Schizosaccharomyces pombe: one gene and its partners. The gene in region 4 interacts genetically with the main gene of each other region. Each region holds a gene or a part of one and is shown on either strand. Other genes may lie near its edges.

What was found.
Region 1: of rec12 (region 4) and mcp7, a mutation in one rescues a mutant of the other (synthetic rescue), as found in Schizosaccharomyces pombe (one study listed by BioGRID).
Region 2: of rec12 (region 4) and sfr1, changing one suppresses a phenotype caused by changing the other (phenotypic suppression), as found in Schizosaccharomyces pombe (one study listed by BioGRID).
Region 3: of rec12 (region 4) and moa1, changing one enhances a phenotype caused by changing the other (phenotypic enhancement), as found in Schizosaccharomyces pombe (one study listed by BioGRID).

The regions. Positions count from the first base shown.
Region 1 is NC_003424.3:576,755-580,476, reverse strand, and holds mcp7 (protein Mcp7), read right to left. Parts: upstream 2,028-3,722; 5' UTR 1,957-2,027; coding exon 1,891-1,956; intron 1,797-1,890; coding exon 1,230-1,796; 3' UTR 758-1,229; coding exon of another isoform or gene 688-757; 3' UTR 643-687; coding exon of another isoform or gene 578-642; 3' UTR 529-577; downstream 1-528. Other genes in the region: SAGA complex ubiquitin Ubp8, read left to right, coding at 1-181, 227-524, 578-642, 688-757. UniProt on the Schizosaccharomyces pombe protein: Required for meiotic recombination.
Region 2 is NC_003423.3:1,578,696-1,582,395, reverse strand, and holds sfr1 (DNA recombination mediator Sfr1), read right to left. Parts: upstream 1,941-3,700; 5' UTR 1,709-1,940; coding exon 809-1,708; 3' UTR 516-808; downstream 1-515. Other genes in the region: hrd3 (HRD ubiquitin ligase complex subunit), read left to right, coding at 1-293; ERMES complex subunit, membrane tether and lipid transfer protein Mdm12, read left to right, coding at 2,448-3,269; SPOM_SPBC28F2.05C (xylose and arabinose reductase), read left to right, coding at 3,391-3,700. UniProt on the Schizosaccharomyces pombe protein: Involved in DNA recombination repair and meiotic chromosome segregation.
Region 3 is NC_003424.3:3,728,016-3,730,977, reverse strand, and holds moa1 (meikin), read left to right. Parts: upstream 1-1,943; coding exon 1,944-2,462; downstream 2,463-2,962. Other genes in the region: NatA N-acetyltransferase complex catalytic subunit Naa10, read right to left, coding at 1-74, 278-334, 382-484, 800-994, 1,081-1,171; retromer complex subunit Vps29, read right to left, coding at 2,874-2,962. UniProt on the Schizosaccharomyces pombe protein: Plays an important role in chromosome segregation during meiosis I by allowing meiotic rec8 to establish cohesion at the centromeric central core and thereby promote the side-by-side structure of kinetochores at meiosis I.
Region 4 is NC_003424.3:1,770,989-1,774,709, forward strand, and holds rec12 (DNA topoisomerase type II (DSB-forming) Rec12/Spo11), read left to right. Parts: upstream 1-1,936; coding exon 1,937-2,217; exon of another isoform or gene 2,218-2,275; coding exon 2,276-2,384; exon of another isoform or gene 2,385-2,434; coding exon 2,435-2,512; exon of another isoform or gene 2,513-2,576; coding exon 2,577-2,705; exon of another isoform or gene 2,706-2,774; coding exon 2,775-3,215; downstream 3,216-3,721. Other genes in the region: UBA/TPR/DNAJ domain protein Ucp7, read left to right, coding at 3,270-3,721. UniProt on the Schizosaccharomyces pombe protein: Required for formation of the double-strand breaks (DSBs) that initiate meiotic recombination. Required for crossover recombination and chiasmatic segregation of chromosomes during meiosis I.

The DNA of each region.
Region 1 (3,722 bases), 1.2 Mb from region 4:
ATACGGAAAGCGGAGGAGGAACATCAATGCCGTGCACTTGTCCTATTCATCGTATTTTTAGTGGATCTCTGAAAAACGTTGTTACATGCCTAGATTGCAAGAAGGAGCGGGTGGCTGTGGATCCTTTGATGGACATTAGTTTAGACATCAATGAGCCAACACTTCAAGGATGTTTGGAAAGGTAAAATTTGCTCGTTTTTAGATTTTTTAACAAATATTATTTTAGGTTTGTTTCCAAAGAGAAAGTTCAATATAGCTGTCATAGTTGCGGGTCAAAAAATGCTATTAAACAATTGGTCTTTGACAAACTACCTCCAACTATTTGCATGCAATTGAAACGATTTGAACAAAATAACTTTGCCATGTCAACTAAAATAGATAAGCAAGTATCTTATCCAGCATTTTTAAGAATGCGCTACAACTTTAATCAAGATGATGTGGATTATCAATTATACTCAGTTGTGTGTCATAAAGGAACTCTCGACACAGGGCACTATATTGCCTATACATACTACCAAAATCAAGTATATTAAATTTTTTTTGAATTTTTTATGGAAATTTTTACTAATTTTTGTAGTGGTTTTTGCTGGATGACACCACAATTGTGGAAGTAAAGGAATCGGAGGTCTTAAATTCTCAAGCGTAGGCTCTTTGCTGTTATTTTTTTACATACTAACCAGATTATAGTTACCTATTATTTTACCATGAGCGTCAAATCCTATACAGTGATGAAATGACTGTTAAAACGGAAAATTGAGTTAGATTATGCGATCAGATATCCGTTCATGAACAATCATTATGAACCATGTAAAGTAATTGACTCAAAGGTTCCTTATTTATGTGGTTATGAAACATCATCACTTCGATAATCTAACTCATGAAGAAGCTTTTAGATTTCATATTGTTGAGGCCAGAAATGGCATTGGATTTGGAACCGTTACAACAGTCGCATTTTAATTAATGACCTTACGTAAATTTATAAAAAAAGTTAAAACTATAAAAAAAGAAACATGCTTTTTTTCTTTCAAAGTTAACAAATACTATAAGTTTGAGGAATTTGGACTTTTGTTTTGTTTCGTTTAATATTATTCCAACTAATTATAATTTTATCTTTTAAAAGCTAAGTCTTGTCGTCGAGTAAGCTATTTTATATGTAACTGTTAAAATGTATAAAATTTTAAAATATTAATAAGGAAAACAACTCTTTGAATTAAGGAAGCATGTCAAGTTCACAAAATCGGTAGTTGCAGATCGTCCAAATCCTCTGGAATGCTGCAATACTCACGAATTTGATTGGTATCGGCACCCATGTCTCGACAAAAAGCTATCAAAGTATGGATTTGATCGGTCCACAAATTGGCAGCTTCCATGTACTTTTTAGTATTCTCATTTTTTAATTCAAAGGTTTCAGGATTACAGTGATTTAAATTTGAAAGTTGTGTTTTAAGAAGTTTTAGTTCTGATTCTTTTGCATGTAGCAGTTCCAAAGTGTATTGATTGGCATCATTTTCGGTTCCTTCGTTATCCCTTTTGGATTTCTCGAAACTAATGTTTTCATCTAAAGTTTTAGATTTTTGTTTCAAATCATCAAGTTGAGCTTGAAGAGATCCGAGAACTGACTCTCTTGAACGTTTAGCATCGGAGGGAAAAGACCAGTAGTAATTGCTAGTGCCAATCTTTTCCGTTTTGACGATATTGTCGTCAACGAGAGACTGTAAAACGTCCTTTACAGTTTGCAAAACGATTTGCTTTTTAGAGCCCAGCTTTTCCACCTCCTTTAGTTGAAAAAAATCTTTCTATAAAAAAAACATAGATTAGCAATGTGGAAAGTGAGACACGAATGGGCAAAAATCATGTTTTGGCACTTGAACAATCATATCACGAACTTACAGAGTCATGGAAAATGGCCTCTAATCTTCTTCTTTTCTCTGCAAGCGATAGTCCCTTGGGAGGCATTGTTTAAAAATTTATTAATTAGTTTGAACAAATATGGAGTTTAAAAGTTTGTTGTGATGCAAGAAGTAGATGCTTTCTAATCTTTTGGAGAAATGAGAGTTTAGATCCCAAACATTTACTGAATGATAACGTAGTCTGCTAAAATGCACATCCGCACTTTCCAACTATGATATATACCCTATAATGTCTTACTATCGTATTGCAACATAATGCAATGCAAAACGTTATTCAGCTATCCTAATCTTTTTGACCCTTGAGGAAATTAAGGAATTAAGTGAATGGGGTTGGCTATTGTCGCACAAAAACATGTGAGGAAAACTTCCTTTTGCCACGAAATCGAAAAGACTCGAATACTGATAGCAGCATGATTTTTTTTTTCTCAAGAGCTTTTGTCGGCGCTCACCTTACTGTACGAATTCGGTTTTACAACCTTTTATTTATTTTTCACTTTATTATTTTCACACAGCGAATTTCAAGCAAACACTGACTGACTAACACATTTCCACATACACACACACACACACATAGCATTCATAAGAGCAACGATGTTTAATGTCAGCGCAAACAAAATGTGTATTGACTTTTGATAAGAGATACTCAGTCAATTTGTCTACTAATTTCAACTATGGCTGGGTATTAACCGGTGTGCCATGTTCGCAGCTAAATGTGTTTTAATCTAGATTAGAATATGGGAGTAAGTGACAAACTTTGGGAACCGCTTTCCCATGGGTAAAAACAGGTGTGAAAAGGATTATTGTTTTTATTACTAAACAATCGTATGCAAAGTCATGCGACCAAAAAGAGCGAGTTAGTTAGGTCATTAGATAAGCTTTTGGATGTTCGTAAGCTAAACGACTTGTCGAGCTAAAGTTGTTCGAATCCAATTACATGTTTGGAGAAGACGTATAAGGAGGCACGGTTGGTGGTTTACCGAACAAATAGTAGAAGGTATAGTAGACGTGCACATGTTGACACATTTTTATTTTTAGGTGATAAAGTAGGGTAGAAGCAAGTAGTTTGTTAAATGTGCGTTACGAGCTACGGTAAACATGTGTATTATCTCGGTCCAATGGACGTGCCATCGTTCGATCGCAACATAAGCCCCGCAGTCATTCACCTCACAAACCCTCGAATCGTACGATGTCGCCCTATTCTCAGGTAACAAAATTGGATTTCTCATTGGCTTAGTGGCTAATTCACCTTGACCAGAAAGAACAATAAGGTAGTATCTGAAAAATATGATTGGATAAAAAAGTGTAATTTTGAAGTGATCAAGTAGCATGTTTTTTTACGGATTTTCAGCATAAACAAACGGTTACACGGCCATTATGTTGCATATATAATTCTACCAACTCCCATCAGTCAGCGCGAGACCCAAGTTAGCTTGAATCGTCGTCGAAACCAGCGTATTTGGTGTCAAAGAGAAGATAAATCGATTCTTCACTTGTAGAAGTACCTTAAAAAAGACAAGATCTAAAATTTCTGTATCGATCGTTGTTTTTGAAAATTGTCTTTTCAAAATCCCAATCTCATTCGTTAAGTGAAAGGAAACGTAATTTTTTTTTGTTTTTCTTTCATATTATTGTCTGTTTTCGATTTCGTTTTTAACGCTTTTTTCTATTTGTTTCATTCGTTGTTCTCGTAGCTGCGTGTTAATCAATTCATTTTTTCTTTCTCCTTTTCTTTTTCAAGTTTATTTGCATTAGCTCAAAGGGTTGAACTATTTTTATCTGTTACACATTTGTTGTTGTTGTCGTTGTTTTTTG
Region 2 (3,700 bases), on a different chromosome or scaffold from region 4:
GTCCGGACTCACAACTTCCCCCAGAACCACCAACACTACAAGTAGATCGTACACCACAACAACCTGACCCTCAAGAAACGTCTGAGTCCTTGCCCTCGCCTAATACTGAAGAGATGGGTGAATCCTATAATGATATTCGTTTCACTTATGATTACATTGATGGAAGGTTTTTGGAGACTGCGTGTGTCACGCTTATTGTGGTAGTTGTCGGACTGGTTTTAATGAGACGCCATCAACAGCATCGACTTCAAGAACGACGTGAGCGAATCATCCGTAGACAAAACCGCGCTTAATAAAAATTGTATCTTCGATTTTTTTGCGTTCTAATTTAAAATTTTGTTGCTCGATGGATGCAGAATAAAAAATATATGTATGTTAGGGTTCGTCGGTGATTAAATCATGCTTTGAATAAATTTTGTTTTTCATCTTTCAATTGGTTGATCTATATTTGTTGTCTGTCAGCCAATTAATCGACTTTTGTTGTTTGAATGTTAAATATCTCCAGAAAAAATTTAGAACCAGAAGGTTCAAAATCAAGAAATTTCAAATTAATGAGACATGTTATTGTATAATGCTAATAATTATATAAATTAAAGTCATAAACTCAGCCTGGAACGATTCATTGTTACATGTAAAGAATTTCGATACCAGCTCGGCGCAATTTGTATGTAAACGATTAAGGTACCTCTGTACGTTCAATTAGTATACCCTTGATTTTGGTGTAAGCTAGCTAAACATATTTAAGTTCGTACTAAAGGTTTTCTAACTAGTACGAACGAAAATTTTTTTAACAATAGTAAGGAGTCCTTTACGATTTCCAATCACCATTTTCTTCATCAAAAGACATCAAATGAACAGGAACACCAAACTGATTTAGAAACATACTCATTGTAAATTCAGTTCGTACTTCCTGAATTTGCCCTTTATTTTCACCTTCTTCAATACGAAAGGACTGAGTAACACCTCCAGCCAAACGAATACGTTCAGCCATTGGTTTAAAAAGTACTTCAGCGGCTTGCTGAGCAGCATTTTTCCATTTCTGTATCAACGTTTGCAAGTCTTTATCTTCATTTTTGGCTTCAACCTTTCGTGCAGTTTCGGCGGTTATGAGCTGCTCTTGTAAATTTCTGACTTCTTTTTCAAGTTTTAAACGACGAGAAAGCAACTGTGTGATTTCAGGGTCGGACTTTGGATTAAGGCAATTAGAGATAGGTGACTTGAAAAGTCGTTTTTGCCGTTTTATTGAATTAGGCGTTGTTCTTAAGGGAGAAGTAACAGGTTCTGAAGAAGTGTTTGTTTCATCAGAGTTAAGATTTGTTACAGCTAACGATGGTTTTAGATTAGTGTCTGCAACTTGAGGACTGGCAGTTTGTCTTAAGGGGCTTTTGAACGGCTTAAGAAGTATATTTTTGGCTTCTCGAGCCCTTTTCTTTGAAAAAGGTGTAGTAATTGGTAAAGAAGTATGTATTTTTGTATCTCGCAGGTCCGGCGTCAAAGCCTTCTCATTCTCTGGATGTACTGTTTCTGACTGCTCGATAAAACCTAGGTTATCTGAGTGATTGCCACTGTTATTGCATTTAGGAGGGTTTTCTATTCCTAACTGACCCTGTGAGTCACGTAAATCACTTTCGCTTAGGGAAACTTTCAAATCTTCTTTACACTGTGAAGTAGCATTTTCATTGAGTTCAGAGTTAATTGTTTGCGACATTTTCAGTTAAATCGTTTTAAAGTACTAATTCGAAGATGAAAGAGTGAATGTTAAATTATAACAAAGATGCAATGAAGCGCGTAACTTTTGTCAACAAACGCGTTGAGTGTAATAGTTGAATGTTTAAACTCTAACTTCAAATAATTAAATGAATTGAATATTAATTGTTATAGAAATGAAGAAATACCACAAATTCCAGATAAACGTTGAAAACGTTTTACTAGCAGAAGGTGAAAATAACAGCAAGCAACAAGAACTTAGGTAGAAGAAGACTGAAGCACATGACTGGTGGTTCCAAAAAATTAAATGTTTATACAAATTACGATAGTAATAAACTAAAAGGTTTATTAATTTACAAATTTGTTTTTTAACCTTTTTTAAACCGCGTAGGCTTTGTTAGAAGGTAATCTGGGAATACCACCTAACTCTACTGACAATACTAGGAGAAAAGATTTTGGTACCTACAGAAGGTAATATTTAAGATAAATAGATATCTTAAAAATTCACTTGCAATTCTCGATGAGTAAAAAAGAACATTGAAGGAAAGGACATTAAAATTGCTGGAGGATTTTGTTTAAAGTATCAAATTCATGCCGTCTTCGTATAAAATTTAGAGAACCGGTTTAAATATTATTTCATTAACCAAGTTGACGAAGAAATTACTTAAATTTTGAAAACTTGCTACAATCGTCATTGAGAGATTCAAGAGTTCGTATTTTTTTTTTACAATTGCAGAACAATGTCTATTGACTTTGATTGGTCAAAGTTAGACTCAGAATTAGAAGCAAAAGTTTTACATCTTCTCGAAGGACAAGTTTCGAATTTGTCGCTACCATCTTATATAAAGCATTTAAAGGTTGTTGACTTCCATTTCGGCAAAGTCTCACCTCAGATTACTATTCAAGAAATCGGCGATCCTGATCCCCAATTTTATGAAAATGAAGCTTTCGAATTAGCTAACCAAGAACTAGAGGGTGATCAATGCTCCCGCAATAATGTTTCACCAGTGCTTACGGATCTTCCACCTTACGCTGCTGAACATCCATTTTCAAGACTAGCATATTTTAATCCCGCATTTAATTCACCCGGGATTCTATCTGCAAGTGGACTCACAAGCCCAATTCCTGAAAGTCGCCCAAGTACTCCAATGGATAATCATCAAGAAAGAGATCGTTCTAACGATTTCCAAGTTACTGCACACGTATCTTATGACGGAGACGCAAATCTAAGCCTGGAAGCGGTTCTATCGATGAATTACCCGAACTCTGAATTTGCAGTTCTTCCATTCAAACTTTCATTTATTAGGATTTCCATCGATGCCATTGCTGTTTTGGCTAAAATGGGAAAGCGGACGCATCTATGCTTCGTTGATACATTGCTGCACGGAACTGGAGAGCATGCATCAAGTGTTATTCGAGATTTAACAGTGGAAAGTATTATTGGAGAATCTAATAAACAGCTGCTAAAAAATGTTGCTAAAGTCGAGAAATTTGTATCGGAAAAAGTTAAACGTATTATTGAGGATGAACTTGTCTGGCCTAGCTATATAACCATTGAATAATTCTTTACAATTATCCTAAATATATAAAAAATTTCCTTTAATCTCCTACTTAAAGGTTTAGGGATTTAGAAAATATTTTTGTCTATACATTGAGCTCTCTCATCTACCTCAACTTACGTTAATGAAACCATTTTCTCCTTCTCAAACCAATTTTGAAAAGGAACAACTTTGCTTTGGTGTATATCAACTTAAGGATTGCTACCAGCAAGTAATTGAGGCACTCTCGCTTGGTATTCGCGTAATTGATTCAGCAATTACATATCGAAATGAAAAAGAATGTGAACAAGCCATTCAAGATTTCTGCCATCAAAATGTGAATATTAAACGTGAAGATATCACCTTAATAACTAAGATTCCTGACTCCTTACAAGGATTTGAACGTACCTGGAAAGCGGTCGAACAGTCTCTTCGCAGAACAGGTCGTCCAAAGT
Region 3 (2,962 bases), 2.0 Mb from region 4:
CAAGAGATTGAACGGTTTTTGCTAGTTCGTCGTTGGTTTCTGGTGTATCGAATTTCAAAGTAGAAAAATCTTTGCTAAAAATTGTTAGTAACCTAGATAGTTGTGATGACGTTGAACAGTCATATATTGTCTGAAACAACGTAGGTAATTATACAGAAGTTGACCAAACTAAAGAAAGAACGATTGTCACAAAGATTGTATATAGTTTTTGGAAAGAATACTCATTAAACGATCCATGCAACCATCCCCAACCTAGTTTTTACAACAAAGTACTTACTGCATAGCATAAGCATCTTCACCATCAGCATAATATTTGCTTTCAATCCCTTGAACGCTAAAATAATGTTAGAATCTCTTCAATGATGGCGAGTAAAAACATACTCAAATTGCAAAGTATCACGATAAAGATGAATAGCAGCTCTGTTGCTTTTACGAACATGAAGACTCATATATTTGGCGCCATAAACTTCGACCATGGCTCTTTCTGTTCATTTAAGTAGTTAGTATCTTTTACTTTTTTTAAAAAAATTTTGTTTAAGGAATGGACCGAAAATATCAAGGAATCAGCAGGAAGGAAACATTGTCGAAAACAAATTAGGTAAAAAAAATGAATTGTTGCAAGGAAAAAACCAACTCACCAAATGAACAATTCAAAGTATTAGCAGACCAAGTCTTGCACAAAATAAAATATATACATATTGGAATAATCATCGATAACAACTGCAAAAAAGCTTAAGATTTCCCTCTAGCTCCTCCTTGGATATATCCGTAATCTACTTCGCTCTCAATTAACACTTACGACTTTGAACCATGAGACGTTTAGCAAGTCCTAGATGACGATAGGAGCGCATTACTGAGACACTTGTGATATGACCATGAGGGATCCCATCCTTAGGCTCTTCTTCCATTTTTGCAAGAACATATCCTACGACACGTCCTTTCGGATCAGTAGCAACATAAGAAAGCATAGGCCAAGAAATAGCATGATAAAGGTCTACATTAAATTAGAAAATAAGAATCATTGTTTTAATACTGGAAGTTCATTGCCGTGCAGCAAGAATTACAATGAATTGAACTTACAATATTTTAACTGATAATTTTCAGGCAAGTTATGTAAGTTGCAGTTCTGCATCCCAGTAAGGTCACTTATACGAGCTGGCCGAATATCCATCTTGCCAATCGTTTAATTTTTAGCAATATCTATGATTTTTGTTTGTTAGTGGTTGGAATCAAATTTCCAGCATACCATATTTTAAGAAAGCGCAGTGAATGTAAAACGAAATTCAGGGAATGCAAAGCAACTACTGCAAAGCTTTTAGAAATGATAAGATTCATTTGATGTTAATATTATCTGTCAAGTATTTTAACGTCAAATATTTACTGCTTTGCTAAAAAAACTATGTTTTTTGGAGACTCACAATGTTCGACGTTAAGCTCCTTTTAAGTTACAAGCCGTTTAGTACACATTGCATAACCAAATTTCTAATTACTTAATGTTGCGTTTCCTAAGTTGTTTTGATTTTCAATGCAGATGATGAGAAATCCTTATTATAAATAGACAATGATGTTTACGATGGATTGCACACTTAAAGACATTAAATCAAAACTTTATATTAATTAGCCATTAATTATATAATCTAAGTTAATACTTATAATCACCATAACATATTTTGTTTACTGTGGAATCAAAAAGGATTAGCGATGCTTGATTGAATCCTTTATTATCTTAAAGTCACACTACCTTGGTTTTCCTTTAAAAGTTTTAACAGCAGCCTTGTGGTTTCACTTAGGCTAAGTAAACTCAACGAAAAAACATTAAGATTTGTTATTCGTAAATTCAGCTAGTAGACCTCGAACATTAGGTTTTCCCATTGGTAAAAATGTAAACAAAACCGCATTAATCATATAAAACATTAAGCGAAAAAAAACAATAGATTGCATTTATGGCTATAAATAATGAAAACGAATTAGAGTATAAATTAATAAAAAAAAACAAGAATCCTAAAATATCAAATTCAAAAAAAAAGAATTCGACACGTCCAGCTTTACAAGACAAAACTAATCAAACATTACCAATTCATCAAAATCAAGCCTTTTCAAACATTCTTCCATCTGATTTTTCAATAATTAAGACACCTGAGACAAAAACTGCTGACGATTTCCCCGTAAATGGTTACGAAGGCTTAAACATTTTAAAATTTGATCTCGAGTTATTTTACAAACTTAAACCTGTAGCAACGTCGACCCCGAAGTCTTGCATGAGGACGGGCTCCAATTTATTTTTAAATGAAACTGTTAAACATGTTCCAGATGAACGGTTAGTTTCAAACATCAAGAATACCCAAACAAAGGACTCTATCACAAGAGATTCTGCGTATTATCACAGAAAAACTATGACAGAAAGCATAATCAAAACACTCGCTGCATTTGATGCTGAGGTTGATGAGATTATATTGTTTTAAATCTCTAACTGACACTGGAATATAATCGTACTTTTCAAGTACTAACGCATCTATTTTTCATATGATATATTTATTAAAAAAGATTTACAAACCTGCTTTACAAATCAACCTTGACTACGATTTTATTTATACATATCGATCAGGACAAACGATAGCATGTTCAACAATATTTGACGCGAAAGGCCGACAAAGAAAAGTGGATAAAGTCAGCGCATAAATTTAACCTTCAAACATTTCTTTCATTTTAAAAAAGCAAGTAAGGAAAGCACATACTTTTCGGTAGTCTACATACTCGGTAAATTAAGATACGGATTATGCTATAATAAACAGAAAAACATCTAATTATCATTTAACACTTCTTTACGATGAAAAGACCGCATATTCCGTGGTTCAATCGTATATTTCATGAGATTATTCTGGTTTTCTGTACTGCATTTTTTCAACCCGGACCTCTCCATCAAAAATCCTATAAACATAAAGTATTAAAACTGCTCCTTGAA
Region 4 (3,721 bases):
TTTAAAACATTTTTTGAATGTTGCGATTTTATTCATTCTATAATTTACCAGTTTTACGACAATCCCTTTTAAGCATTCTTTCCCACCAACCCATATCATAGAGCCCCTTTTATATGCTTATTGCTCATATCGAAAATGTCTTCGTTTTTTGGGTTTGTTTATGAATTCGTGAATTTTTAATTTGGTCATAGTTTTGACCATTAAGTTTGTTTTCCAAAAATGCTCTTTCCTTATCTACTTCGTTTATGCTTTGGAAAATTTCTTCTAAATAATATCTACGGGACTTCCTAATTCTTAAAATTGCAAAATCCGTCCGTGTTCTAAGTATTTATTTATTTTACTATTGTCTAAGTATATCGGAATGATTCTCAGAGCTTTGCACTTCTTTTTCCCTAAATTTTCTATTAACTTTTATCTTTTTGTTATTGTATTAACTTACAAAAGTAATACCGGTTCATCATGCAAAATTCCATGTTTTAACAGTTGTCATAACCTCTATCTTTTCTGTATAAGAAAGGGTAACTGTAAACCACAGTGCTATTGTTGCCTAATTGTTTCTACGTTTTCTTGAGTATTAAATACTTATTAAGAAGAAGCAAAAAAAAAAAACTTGATGAAATTATTCTCCTTTAGAAACCCTTGCTCATTTTTTATCTAGTTCGTCCTGTTTATCTGCTATGCCACAAGTACAAATTTCGGGAAGCAATATGGAGTGCCTATTTTCATTATTGTTTTCCATTGATGTCATTAGAATATTATCGTTATTTGTACATCAGATTAATTGCTATCTTCTGTTCTCGCAATAAGTTAAAAAAGCTATCACTATTGTCTTGACGAAGTATTGCACCATAATAAATGACTATTAATGAATCAAGCAAACACACTACATATGGCAACTTTTAAGCTTAAAAAATTCGTTAAAGACCCATTTGGATAGGTAGCATTTTCGTACAATTGTATGTTCTCCAATTTTATTTTTTCATTTGCAAAAGCAAACCACTGTCAGTTTCTCTTTAGGGCTGGCACAAGGAAAGCATATGCTAACATATACATCGAGCAGATAGTGAGTTAGACTACTTCTTCATGTTTAGTGTTGCAAATGACTTAGTAATTCCTGATTTGAAAATCTGTAAACTAGAAACAATCTTAAATTGGATTGGAGGATATTTCAAACTGTCTTATCAAAATTAAAATGAAAGTCCTTCTTGTTTATATATATACCTTTTGTATAAAAAGGTCAGTTTCATTCATATTTTTAACATTAATGTTATTATAAATAGGTTTAAATAATCATCAAGTTAACAGTTGGTCGCATGATGTAGTCGGTTATCATGTCGATCTAATAAGTCGAATGTCGCCAGTTCGAACCTGGCTGTGACCATGTTTTTTAATTACGTTTTCTCTCTTGACAAAGGAGTTGGCAAAACGAAATTATAAGTACAATATTTATTGAAACAGTTGATATACATATTTTTATAGAAAATTAAAACTATAGAAATAAATTAAGTAACCGCTTGATCTATGGCTCTTAGTTGTCGTATGTTGCATTTGAACTCGAAAGAGTTCAAATATATTTACTTTTCTTTCAACTTTTCTGTAGACAAGAACATAAGTTGTTTAGGAATTTCAAATTTCGATCCATCTTTACGATTTACCAATTCAGTCCGCAAAGCTCGCGTGAGTCTTCTCTTACACCATTTTATCAGAAGGAAAGTCTTCAGTAAGTATTTTTTAGCAGTTAACGAAAACACATATACTGTTTCGCCTTGATATTACCCATTTATTGAATGTATGTATCATTTCTTCAGAAAACAATCTCGCTTAGATATAGCTTATTTGAATTAAGCTATTGATTTTTTACACTGTAACCATACGCGCTTTGCATAATTATCTAGACAATGCAAAGAATGCTGAACGCGTCCAGAAAGTAAAAAAAATGAATTCGAATGATAAAAAAAAAGTTGTTAGATCATGGATTGAGCAATTTGTTCATGATTTTGTTGAGCAATTAAGTAAGCCTACCAAAGATTCAGTAAATGTTGCTTTGAAAAGACGAAAGCACAATTCTTGGAATGGCAGCTTAGATTCAAAGGCCAATGAAAGACAAAAAGTTAAGGTTTTTTCATTCCCCAGGAATGAAACAACAATTGCTCAACTATTCAGGGTTTTAGATTGTGTTCATGAAGCTGTTATTTCGGATACAGTAATCACTAAGCGGTAATTGCTTTGTACTATACGCCGAAAATTCAGATTTAAGTTCTAATTACATTTGCAGAGATATTTATTACAGAGATGTAGATTTATTCAAGCGACAAACCGTAGTCGATGAGCTGCTTGGAGATATTTCAAACACCATTGGTTGCTCCAGGTCCGACCTTAACGTTGTAAGTCATTTCTTTGGAAATAGATTCATTAACGATTAATTTGATCTTAGGAAGCATCTGCTAAAGGATTGGTATTTGGGTCCATTCATATTGCTCTTGAAAACGGGACAGTAATTACTGCTACTAAAGTAGGTTCAAGTTTTAATAACCGTAAAAATTGTTTTTTCTAACTAAGAATTTTACTAAATACAGCCATTATTAATCTCTCACCATCGAATTTCATCAATCACTTCCACAGCAAAATGGGTCTTGGTCATCGAAAAGGAAGCGGTATTCCAAACGCTAACCGAAGAGGCTTTAGCGGATACAATAATTGTTACAGTAAGTGAGAATGCTTCCTTTTCAATGATATTGATGTTAGAGTGCTAGCTAACTAATTGCTTGTAACAGGCTAAAGGATTTCCAGATTTGATGACGAGAAAATTTTTAGTTAAATTAGCCAAAGCCCTCCCGGATGCTAAATTTTTTGGTATTTTTGATTGGGACCCCCATGGCTTATGCATTTATTCCTGTTTCAAGTACGGTTCTAATGCCTACAGTCATGAACCGCACAGTCAATTACGAAATTTACAGCTTTTAGGCCCTCTGTATGAGGACATTTTTAATAAAAACCAAGAATTCTCTTTAAAATTGAATAAAAGGGATATTAAAATGATTACAACATTATTACAATTTGAAGGCTTCCAAAAGGAGCCCGTTGTTCGTGAACAGCTACAGCGAATGCTGTTTATCCAGAAAAAAGCGGAAATACAAGCAATTCTAGAATTTCCTTCATGGATCAAAGGAAAATTAGCTGATGCCGACAAAAGTGGAAAGCACTCAGTACGTTAAGTTCTTGGATAGTTCAACCTACTTTCACTACACTCCCATAATAAAGCCTCCAACATGGATGACTTGCTAGATTTCAATTTTTACGATAAATCTACACCATCTAATCAAAATAATTACAGTAATAATAATAGTAGAACGCCATCCTACTCCCTTCCCGCCCCAGTAGCCCAGAAAAAGAATGCACAAATTCCATTGAAAGCATCAAAGCCCGAAGACCCTTTTGCTAATTTATTTCAAAAGAAAACGGATAATAAAATTTCCTTAAAAGAACTAGAAAGGCAGAAAGTTGGAACTCCGGACTCCAATTCCACCCCCAAATCTTCAAATTACGATCCCTTTGAAAACCTTGAAATTTTGCATCAATTATCAAATACTCCTAGAGATAAAGATGCAGTTATTCATGATAAGATTGAAGAAAATAAAAGGCCGATTTCACAACCACAAGTATCGGCTTCCGAGAAAGTAACTTTAAAGGATTTGTCTTTAGAGCCGCATCAGCCTGTCAG